Linked DNA regions of Arabidopsis thaliana. The protein of the gene in region 3 purifies or fractionates together with the protein of the main gene of each other region. This does not show direct contact. Each region holds a gene or a part of one and is shown on either strand. Other genes may lie near its edges. The genes, in order: NRPB6A, NRPB6B and NRPB7.

The links.
Region 1: the proteins of NRPB7 (region 3) and NRPB6A fractionate together in Arabidopsis thaliana (co-fractionation; one large-scale study listed by BioGRID). This does not show direct contact.
Region 2: the proteins of NRPB7 (region 3) and NRPB6B fractionate together in Arabidopsis thaliana (co-fractionation; one large-scale study listed by BioGRID). This does not show direct contact.

Annotation. Positions count from the first base shown.
Region 1 is NC_003076.8:21,102,926-21,106,544, forward strand, and holds NRPB6A (RNA polymerase Rpb6), read left to right. Parts: upstream 1-1,625; 5' UTR 1,626-1,753; coding exon 1,754-1,791; intron 1,792-2,113; coding exon 2,114-2,147; intron 2,148-2,239; coding exon 2,240-2,412; intron 2,413-2,500; coding exon 2,501-2,552; intron 2,553-2,647; coding exon 2,648-2,715; intron 2,716-2,801; coding exon 2,802-2,871; 3' UTR 2,872-3,022; downstream 3,023-3,619. Other genes in the region: AT5G51930 (Glucose-methanol-choline (GMC) oxidoreductase family protein), read left to right, coding at 83-643; AT5G51950 (Glucose-methanol-choline (GMC) oxidoreductase family protein), read right to left, coding at 3,168-3,231, 3,319-3,619.
Region 2 is NC_003071.7:1,618,629-1,622,383, reverse strand, and holds NRPB6B (RNA polymerase Rpb6), read left to right. Parts: upstream 1-2,004; 5' UTR 2,005-2,137; coding exon 2,138-2,175; intron 2,176-2,462; coding exon 2,463-2,496; intron 2,497-2,576; coding exon 2,577-2,749; intron 2,750-2,835; coding exon 2,836-2,887; intron 2,888-2,987; coding exon 2,988-3,055; intron 3,056-3,146; coding exon 3,147-3,216; 3' UTR 3,217-3,593; downstream 3,594-3,755. Other genes in the region: AT2G04650 (ADP-glucose pyrophosphorylase family protein), read left to right, coding at 1-25, 115-226, 298-398. UniProt on the Arabidopsis thaliana protein: DNA-dependent RNA polymerase catalyzes the transcription of DNA into RNA using the four ribonucleoside triphosphates as substrates. Component of RNA polymerase II which synthesizes mRNA precursors and many functional non-coding RNAs.
Region 3 is NC_003076.8:23,881,491-23,885,245, forward strand, and holds the start of NRPB7 (DNA-directed RNA polymerase II), read left to right. Parts: upstream 1-1,865; 5' UTR 1,866-2,008; coding exon 2,009-2,124; intron 2,125-2,699; coding exon 2,700-2,865; intron 2,866-2,950; coding exon 2,951-3,001; intron 3,002-3,100; coding exon 3,101-3,166; intron 3,167-3,259; coding exon 3,260-3,328; intron 3,329-3,423; coding exon 3,424-3,486; 3' UTR 3,487-3,755. Other genes in the region: AT5G59170 (Proline-rich extensin-like family protein), read left to right, coding at 555-1,421. UniProt on the Arabidopsis thaliana protein: DNA-dependent RNA polymerase catalyzes the transcription of DNA into RNA using the four ribonucleoside triphosphates as substrates. Component of RNA polymerase II which synthesizes mRNA precursors and many functional non-coding RNAs.

The DNA.
Region 1 (3,619 bases), 2.8 Mb from region 3:
GTATATAACATAAATACATTTAAAGGTTATTTAGTTATGACTTATGAGATTGTATGTTGTCTAACTATGACGCATTATGCAGACAAGTCATACTACATCTAGGAAAATCCTGACCCAATCCATTGCAGTCCTTTTAAAATCTTTTGATGTTAAATTGGAAGTGAGGATGAATGGGGGTTTGATCTTTCAAAAAGTCGATGGACCGGCCTCAAAAGGACATATGAAGCTACGGAACACGAACCCAAGGGATAATCCTTCAGTGACATTCAACTACTATCAAGAACCAGAGGATTTGAACAAGTGTGTTAAAGGGCTTAACACCATTATTAGAATGATAAATTCCAAAGCTTTCTCCAAGTACAAGTATCCGGGTGTGACGGCACGTGAACTGCTCAATCTCATGTTGGCCCTTCCCATCAATTTGAGGCCAAGGCACGTGACCTCAGCGTTCAACTTGAAGCAGTTTTGCATCGACACCGTGACGAGTGTTTGGCATTACCATGGAGGTTGCCAAGTTGGAAAAGTGGTTGACAAGAATTACAAAGTCTTAGGCATAGATGGCTTAAGGGTCATCGATGGATCCACATTTCTCAAGTCTCCCGGGACTAATCCTCAAGCCACGGTCATGATGCTTGGAAGGTAAGCACAAAAACTAAATAATCACAACATCAATAAATAAGATATGATGTTTGAATAAAAATCATTGTGAAAGTGCTATGTGTAGGTACATGGGGCAGGAAATTATTCGGCAAAGAGCGGCTTTCCACGAAAAGTAACAAAAAGCCTAAGGTTCTTAATAGAGAGTAGACAAAAGTTTTCTCATCTATTATTACTTGTTGTGTTATTGTCTTCTAACATTTTCACACAAATGAAGAAAAGTAAACAAATTTTATTTCTACCCGTTACTAATACACTAGATAATACTTTCTCTTTCTAAATGATAAAGTGAAATAATAGAGATAAAAAAAAAAAAAAGAGATTTGGTTTTAAATATTCCATTGAAAACACAAAAATGACAATTTTTGTGAAACAAAATTAAAACCTTAAAATGACACGCGTCCTCGAAGTCCAACTTGACGCAGTTTTGCATCCACATTGTGATGACTATATGGCATTACCATGGAGGTTGTCAAGTTGGTCGACAAGAATTACAAAGTTTTAGGTATTGATGCCTTAATGGCCATTGATATGGATCCACATTTCTCAAGTCTCCGGAGACTAATCATCGAGCCACGGTCATGATGCTCGGAAGGTAAAACGCTCATACTTAATGATCATATGATTCTTCGAGTTGTGATTGTCTTGTTGAGACTTGAGTGTTATGTGTAGGTGTACATGGGGCAAAGGATTCTTCGAGAGAGAGAGTTGCTTTTCGAGAAGTATTTTCTATGATTATTCGATCGTTTCTCCAACTAAAGATGAGACCAGACAAGTATATGAATATGTGATCATCGTCCAAAGAAAAGAAAATTCTAACATAATCAGTATATATCACATGTTCCATGATTATTTGGAATAAAGAAGGAAATTTGATTCAGTTGTGGAGTTATTCTTATGTGGGCCTAAATTGGGCTTGAAATTAAATGGTCCGATTATAAAGTTTACTAAGCATAGTTAAATAAACTGGATCATTTAAATTTTATTCAGTTCTTAACTTCATTGATTCATTCTGCGTCGTTCGGAACTCTGCAACGAGAGTTAGGGTTTATACAGAGCAAAGAGAAGGAGAAAGCGAAACCAAAAATCGACATTAATGGCTGACGAAGATTACAACGACGTCGATGACTTGGGGTTATTCTCTCTTCCTCTCTCTCGGTTTCATATCTATTCATTATTCGTGCTCGGATTTCAAAAGATTCTATCTTCTTCTCGACGAATTCGTAATCGATTTAGAGTAAATTGGATTAGTTAATGTCTAAATTAGCAGTTTTTATAGATGGGTTTCTTCGATGAAACGTTGCTTCGATTTTGTTCGGTATAGTACTGATTCTAATCGATTTTAAGGTAGAAAGTAGAAACCCTAATTTCATTGAGAAAAAGCTATTTTTTAAAACTCTATGAGCTTTTCTAGTGAAACTTGTGAGTAAATTGAAGAAAATTTGGGCTATTGCAGATATGAGGATGAGCCAGCAGAGCCTGAGATTGAAGTAAGTTCAATATTTTTTCTTTGTATAAGAGACATGGTTATTGCTTATTATACAACTTTCGGTTTCTGATTGGTTTTTTTTTTCTTGTGTAGGAAGGAGTAGAGGAAGATGTTGAAATGAAGGAGAATGATGATGTCAATGGTGAGCCTATTGAAGCTGAAGATAAAGTCGAAACAGAACCTGTGCAACGTCCACGCAAAACGTCAAAGTTTATGACCAAGTATGAGCGTGCTCGTATCCTCGGCACTCGCGCTTTGCAGATTAGGTATGGTTCTTGCTACTGAGAACAATCTTTTTAATGTTAAATTGGCTTGAAAAGTTTGAGTCTTAATGTTGTTTTTTGGCTGATACAGCATGAATGCTCCTGTCATGGTTGAGCTAGAGGGTGAGACTGATCCACTTGAGGTGTGCTTACCTACCTTCTTGTTGTTGGTTTTTGAAGTTATGTCTCAGTAAACTTATATGAACATTTGAGCTAATTTATTATGATTTGGATTCAGATTGCGATGAAGGAGCTTAGGCAGCGGAAGATACCATTCACTATTAGACGCTATCTACCTGATGGGAGGTGAGAGATTGCATTGAGCTTATATTATTCTCTTCACTCACTTGATCTCTTCTTTTCTTGTGACTTACTTATGATTCCTGAAACAGTTTCGAGGAATGGGGAGTTGATGAACTGATCGTGGAAGACTCATGGAAACGTCAAGTTGGTGGTGATTGATAATCTGACCAGAGACAAATCGACAAATACGTATGTAACTTGCAAGCTTTCCTCTCTTATGGATGATAAATTTTCTGATGTTGTAATGGAACTAAAAATCAGTGAAACTTATGGATAATACTAGACTCATATTCCGAAATTCTGCAAAACTAGAAGCCCCAAGTACCATAATTCCACCATTATTATACATATTAGAAACAGAACATGAACAGATGTACACATTCATACTCTTTAAGTTAATCATACATTGATTAAAACAATTCCAAGATCAAGATTTTCTCAAAACAAGTAATATCTCACGCTTCTTTATCCGGTTTGTTGTATATCTCCCTCTCTTGAAGAATCCTTTGGCCCATATACCTACACAAAACACTCTGACACAATCAGTTCTTAATCAAATCATTAACATGTTTTAGATTATTTGGATCATTTGGTTTATGCATTTACCTTCCGAGCATCATAACAGTAGCTTGAGGATTAGTCCCCGGAGACTTGAGAAATGTGGATCCATCGATGACCCTTAAGGAATCAATGCCTAAGACTCTGTAATTCTTGTCAACCACTCTTCCAACTTGGCAACCTCCATGGTAGTGCCAAATTGTCATCACAGTGTCAATGCAAAACTGCCTTAAATTGAACATCGAGGTTATATGCCGCGGCCTCAGATTGGTAGGAACGCTTAGCATTAGATCGAGTAGTCCATGTATGGTCGCGTCCGGGTACTTGAATTTGGAGAATGCCTTGGAGT
Region 2 (3,755 bases), on a different chromosome or scaffold from region 3:
AATCTTAGACGATGTTGAAATCAAGGTAATTTGGAATCAGTGTTTTAGAATGTTCTTCTTGTTATGAATCCAAAAGATTCGTTGTTTAATGTTCTCTACTCTTGTTAAATGCAGGAGAATGCTGTTGTTATAAACTCAATTATCGGATGGAAATCTTCTATAGGTAGATGGTCAAGAGTTCAAGCTAGTGGAGATTACAATGACAGGCTTGGGATTACCATTCTTGGTAACTTCATTGTTTTCTTTTTGTTCAACAAATTTTTCGTTATATTTTTTCTGATTAATTTGTTTCTGCAGGTGAGGCTGTAACTGTGGAAGATGAAGTAGCAGTCATAGGAAGCATTGTTCTCCAGAATAAGACTCTTAATGTTAGTGTTCAAGATGATATCATCTTGTGATTTATCACAATGATTATCGTTTGGATTTTTTTTCTTTTTAATTGAAACAGAGAAACTTTTACAGAATTGTGTATTACATGAATTGAGTTCACAGGATTAGATTTTGAGTAAGTGAAACTATGGAAGATTTGTAAACTCTCACTGTACTTTGTGTTTAGATACTAAAAAGATTTTAGAAGAAAGAGTTTTAAAAGATCTAAGATAACAAGGAATCAAAGAAGTTTTGCTTCTTGATTGTGTAATCACTAGTGTTCAATACCTCCTTAGGCTCCTTTCTTTTGTGCAAATTGCTCACTAGAAAAATTGTTTATCTTGACTTCGTTTGTGGGGGTAGGCCCGGACATAATACCGGAACCCGAAGAACCGAACTGAACTTGACTCGAAATAACCAAACCCGTTCTACTTCGGTTCCGGCTAATTACTTGATCGGGTTCTGTTTTCAAATAACCGTGGGTACCGGAAATTACCCGAACTGAACCCGATACCCGTGGGTACTTTTTATTACCCGAACATATATATACATAGGGCTGCGCATATGGGTAACCCGTTCGGATTCGGGTAAAACCCGTTCGGGTTCGGGTTAAATGGGTAATGGATTTACTACCCAATAGGGTAAAATGAAAATTTTCGATTTCGGTCTAGTTCGGGTACATTCGGGTTCGGGTCGGCTTGGGTAAAGAATTTCAGGCCCTAAGAATAGCCAAACAAATGAAAACGGGTATTTTATGTGTAGATAGCGGGTACCCAACAAAAAAAAAACCTTAAATATTAACAAATTTTAATAATTTAATTAGATTTAGATATATTATACTAAATTTTGACAAACATAACAAATAATTTTTAAATAGTTGGGTATTTAGATCTAAAAGTAATTGATATATTTAGATTTATAATTATAATTTTAGATTATTACATTATATTAAGATTAAATATAATTAATATTTTTGATATTAAATCTATGTTCGGGTATCCTGTTTGGGTAACGGATAAACCCCGGACCGACCTGATACCCACGGGTTTACTAAAACTTTACCCAATGAAGTAATTTCTTAAAACCCTAACCCACCCCAACCCGATTTTTCGGTTCGGGTATCAGGTTCGATATCGGGTCCCGTTTTTTGCCCAGCCCTATATATACATATGAGGATATATATACACTAATAATGTGACTTGTTTAATGATTTGAGTTATGGAACAAGCTTAAAACAAGGTTTACTTCTTGTTTTATATTATTGGCTTAAGGAAAAACTTGTTATAATTTCAGATCTTTCGGGTTTTATGGATATTTTTATGTATGTTTGGGTATATTTGGACAAAGTTTGGGTAAGTAGTACTCAAACCCGAAATAGTTTTGGTTACTTATGGTTTTTTTAACTAATACCTGAATTATCGGACCCGAAGTGAAGCCGAACCGAACCCGACCCGAAATTGTTGATATAACCATACGGATCCAAAATTTCTAAACCCAAAAATTCGAACCCGAAAAATCCGACCCGACCCTGACCCGAATACCACATGCCCAGGGCTATGTTAGGGGAAAAAAAAAAAATACATGTGGGCTTAAATGGGGTTTGAAATTAAAACCGGTCTGAATAGACGGTTCATTAAGAAAACCGGCAATTAAAAACCGAACTTCATAGAGAGTCTTCTTTACGCATTCTCCGTCATTCGGTTAAGTTGCATCGATCGTTAGGGTTTTATCGAGAGAGCAAGGAGAGCGATTTCTCAAATCGACTTTAATGGCTGACGACGATTACAATGAAGTCGATGACTTGGGGTAATCTCTCCCTCTCTGTTTCCTATGTTAGTATCATTTGTACTCGATTTCAGTTGATTCTATCTTCTTCTTCCCGACGAATCGTAAACGATTGAGAACAATTGGATCAATTATTGTCTAGTTTGAGAGTCTATCAACGAGATTCTTTTTTGAAAATTTGCTTATTGTTCTGGCATCGTAGCATTGATTATAATTTCATATTGTTTAGATAGAAAACCCTAATTTCGTTTGAATCTTATACATCGGATTTCAAATTGTTGATGTTATGTGGTGATTTTCAATTGCAGATATGAAGATGAGCCAGCAGAGCCTGAGATCGAAGTAAGTTATTATTTGTAGAAGAGAGATTGACATTGCTTATTATTATTACTAGGCTGATTAGAATGTGTTGGTGTGAGTAGGAAGGAGTAGAGGAAGATGCTGATATCAAGGAGAACGATGATGTTAATGTTGACCCTTTGGAAACAGAAGATAAGGTTGAAACAGAACCTGTGCAACGCCCACGTAAAACCTCTAAGTTTATGACTAAGTATGAACGTGCACGTATCCTCGGCACTCGTGCTTTGCAGATTAGGTCAGCTACTGAGAACAATCTTTGTTGATTAACCGTTTAGTTGGCTCGGAAAGTTTGATTCTATGTACTGTTGTTGGCTGATACAGCATGAATGCTCCTGTTATGGTTGAGTTGGAGGGTGAGACTGATCCACTTGAGGTGTTGCCTTCTTCCTTCTTGTTGTGTTTTTCATGATTTGTCAGTAAATGTTGATATGTATATGAACATTTGTGTTGTTTATTGTATGATTTGGCTTAAGATTGCGATGAAAGAGCTTAGGCAAAGGAAGATTCCATTTACCATTAGACGTTATCTACCTGATATGAGGTGAGATTGCATTAGTTATATCAATACTTTTAGCTCTTCTTTCAAATTTGATATCTTCTTTTCTTGCGACTTACTTATGACTCTGAATCAGTTACGAGGAATGGGGAGTTGATGAACTGATCGTCGAAGACTCGTGGAAACGTCAAGTCGGTGGTGATTGATAAAATCTGGCCTATGTGTTTTGCAAAGCTTTCTGCTCTTGTATGGATTATGAACTTACGATATAGTCGCATGTAGAACTTCTTCATTTGTCCTATTCTCCAACACTACAAGAGTCAGGGACTCCAACAAAAATGCATGAACAACAAATTTTTTGTCCCAAGTTGTTTTTGGACATGGGTTTCGACAAGCCTGCATGTACATATACAAAGAAAGAAAATCCTTCGTGAAACCAAAAGAAGAAAACATCTATAATAGTTTGAGTATTGAGTAAGTACAACTCAATTGATAAACCTTTTCTCTCACACTTCCCAGCTTTTGTCGTCTCACAGAGTCAGATCGATTGATGCATAAATGAGTGATGCTAAAAATCAAAAAGCAAGATTAGAGAAGAATTATGCATGTTGTTTAAAGAAGTTGAGAAATAGTAATGTTAAAAACTATGTGAAGCGCTTGCTCGAGGATTGTTTCAGCAACACTATACAAGTGACTGGACTCAACTACTCACCATAGTCTCGGCCCAACGCAAGGATAGTGTAGC
Region 3 (3,755 bases):
ATAATTTACATGTTATATTATCTTATTTGAACTCTTGCCATTTCTTTTCTCAAAACACTTTATGTTCTTATGATCTTCTCCTCTGACTCTATATAGACAGTAAAAAAAGTCTGCAAATTTTCATTCTTTTTCAACAACCAATTTCCTCAGTGTACATACTAAATTGTTCTGTATCCATACACACATATACTTGGGAAATCTTCGGTTTCATGGATTCTTCACAACTCGAAGCCTCTTTAAAAACAGATTCTTTGCTTAGTTGTTGTCGTCGCTGCAAATTATTTGACAAGTGGAGAGTTTTTGCAGAGCTAAAAAGCGAATACAAGTTGACCAAAAAAGGTCAAATCCCTGGTTCCATATGAAACTGTCAAACTTTGGACGTGCATGGATACAAAAGCTTCTGTCAGTTTACTTTCCTGGATTTAGGGTTTTAAAACCAGCTGTGAGGTTTGCTGCAATGTGGCAATGTCACTGCAATGTGTTGTATAGAGTCTTAAGTCCTCTGTTTACTTTAAAACCCGTATTTTAACTTGCTGCTATTCACAACAAGAAAAATGAAGTCTTGTCTAGCTACTTTTGCTCTCGCAGTGTTAGTAACACAAGGAAGCATTTTTAGTTTGTGTTTGGCCTCCTCTGCTTCTACAAACTCTGTTCCTAATTGGTTTCATCATTGGCCGCCGTTTAAATGGGGACCAAAATTTCCATATTCTCCACCTAAACCGCCGCCAATCGAGAAATATCCTCCACCGGTGCAGTATCCACCACCGATCAAGAAGTATCCACCGCCACCATACGAGCATCCACCGGTGAAGTATCCACCACCGATCAAGACTTACCCTCATCCGCCGGTGAAGTATCCTCCACCAGAACAGTATCCACCGCCGATTAAGAAGTATCCTCCACCAGAACAGTATCCACCGCCGATTAAGAAGTATCCTCCACCAGAACAGTATTCACCGCCTTTCAAGAAGTATCCTCCGCCAGAACAGTATCCACCACCGATCAAGAAGTATCCTCCGCCAGAACATTATCCACCGCCGATAAAAAAGTATCCTCCGCAAGAACAGTATCCACCACCGATTAAAAAGTATCCTCCGCCAGAAAAGTATCCACCCCCGATCAAGAAGTATCCTCCGCCAGAACAGTATCCACCGCCGATCAAGAAGTATCCTCCGCCAATTAAGAAGTATCCTCCGCCAGAAGAGTATCCACCACCGATCAAGACTTATCCTCATCCCCCTGTGAAGTATCCACCGCCTCCGTACAAGACTTACCCTCATCCGCCGATCAAAACTTATCCTCCTCCGAAAGAATGTCCTCCTCCGCCTGAACATTACCCTTGGCCTCCGAAAAAGAAATATCCTCCACCGGTTGAGTATCCGTCGCCGCCATATAAGAAATATCCTCCGGCTGATCCATAGTAACTCAAAACCAAACAAGGACGTGTTTGTCTATAAGTATATGTCTAGTTAAAAAACTGTTCTGTTCTTTCTGTTATGTTCTTTCTTTTTCTTATGACTTTCTGTTATGATGCATCAAATAAAGAATAAACTGTTCTGTTTTGAATTTGTTAAATAGGAGAGTGCAAGCTCAAGAACAAGCTGTTTCATAAATAAATAAAATATATTTTCTAAAATCAAGTAAAGTAAAAAAAAAATAGATATTGTACTAAATGAATAAACTTGATTCAACAAAGTTTTGTACGTTGTTATAATTTCACTTAAATAATTTAGTGCGTCAAAAAAACAAAATTAAAACGTAATTGGTCAAGGAAAAAAAAACAAGTCTCAAGGGAAAAGGAAAACAAAAAAAAAGGAAAATTTAATAAGCAATCTGGACCGTTCATACTTTTTAGATCTGACGGCTGACAGAGAACTACCATTGGGCATCTTTTATAAACAGAGAGATTTGTTTGATTCCGGTCGAACTCAAAACATAATTTGCTCTCAATAAGACATTAACAAAGTCCCAGAGGCAGAGAGAGAGAATCAGAGAGAGAGAAGTCGAGATGTTTTTCCACATAGTATTGGAGCGGAACATGCAGTTGCATCCTCGTTTCTTTGGTCGTAACCTAAAAGAAAACCTCGTATCTAAGCTCATGAAAGATGTCGAAGGCACTTGCAGGTTTTCTTTCTCTATTCACTTCTAGTAGAAAATCACCAATTTCGGATGCTTTAATCGCAAACCCTTTTCCTCAATTCTCAATTCGGATTCGTTTTCCTTAAGACAACTTCGAAAAAGTTGCATATTTTTTCGAACCCTAATCTCCGTCTAGTTCAATTTGTTAGGTTTTAGGGATTAGAGTGGATTAAATTCGAATAAAGATCGTTCTTTTAACTAAATTGTAGTCTTTCTCTGCTGCTTGTGACTAAAGTCTGATTTTTAGCAGAATTTTTTTCCAAAGGGATTTGCTTTGAAGCCTTTAGCTTTCTTAGGATTAAGATATGACTTCATCCAGCTCACTTAGATGCCTGATTGCAAATCATTCAGATCCAGTATCTTGTTTTGTATTTGATACTCAAGTCTAAAACTTTGTTCTTTAGTATAGTTCGCTTAATCCATTGCTTGTGACAGAGATTTGTATTTTGAGGCCTCTAGCTTTTTGTATTTGCTTTAGGTTTAAGATGTGAAGTTTCATCATTGCAATGTCATATTGATACTTATCAATATTTGCTCTTTTCGTTTTGTGGTATGGACAGTGGCCGACATGGATTTGTAGTGGCGATAACTGGAATAGATACAATAGGAAAGGGTTTGATCAGAGATGGGACTGGTTTTGTCACCTTTCCAGTTAAATACCAATGCGTCGTTTTCAGACCTTTCAAAGGCGAGATTTTGGAAGCTGTTGTCACTTTGGTCAATAAGGTAATGTATCTATATAGTCTTATTTTTTTAGTCAAATGTCTTTAGTGACAAATCAACCTTATGGATTTTCCTAATATTATCACAGATGGGATTCTTCGCTGAAGCTGGCCCTGTTCAGATTTTTGTGTCTAAGCATGTAAGCTTATGATCTTCCATCATGAATTTGACCTCGAGTTCATTTTTGATTCTAGGTGTTATGTACTTACTCTTGTTCTCCTCTCTTTTATCACCACAGTTGATTCCAGATGATATGGAGTTTCAAGCTGGAGACATGCCTAACTATACCACATCAGATGGATCAGTGTGTTTCTTTCTCTAGTTCTTATTTCCCAACAGTATTATATGTGTTTCATCTATCTTCAAGGAACTCATTTTTCCAATGCTTCTCTTGCAGGTTAAGATCCAGAAGGAGTGTGAAGTGAGACTAAAGATTATTGGAACAAGAGTTGATGCCACTGCGATTGTATGCACCATCTCCTCCATAACTCTAGTCACAATCCAACTTATAGTTTTTAGATTATTCTTATCAATTTACACATTTGTTTTTTGATTTTGCAGTTTTGTGTGGGTACCATCAAAGACGATTTTTTGGGAGTCATAAACGACCCTGCAGCGGCATAAAAAGTTTCAAGCAGATTTCAATTTTGGTCTTCTTTCTTTCACAGAGAATGCTGTCTTGTGATAAAGTTGTATTATAGTTGAAGTTTTGGATCTATTTAATCCGAAAGATTGGAACCACGCTTGTTGGATTTAACTTATATGCAAGTTTAGTGAACTTCGTATTTGATCAAAACTGTTGTCATTTTGAGAACAATATAGTACCGAGTAGTGGATCAAATTCTACATGTCTCAATGAAAATTGTATAATTTGAAATTGAATGGATGTTTCA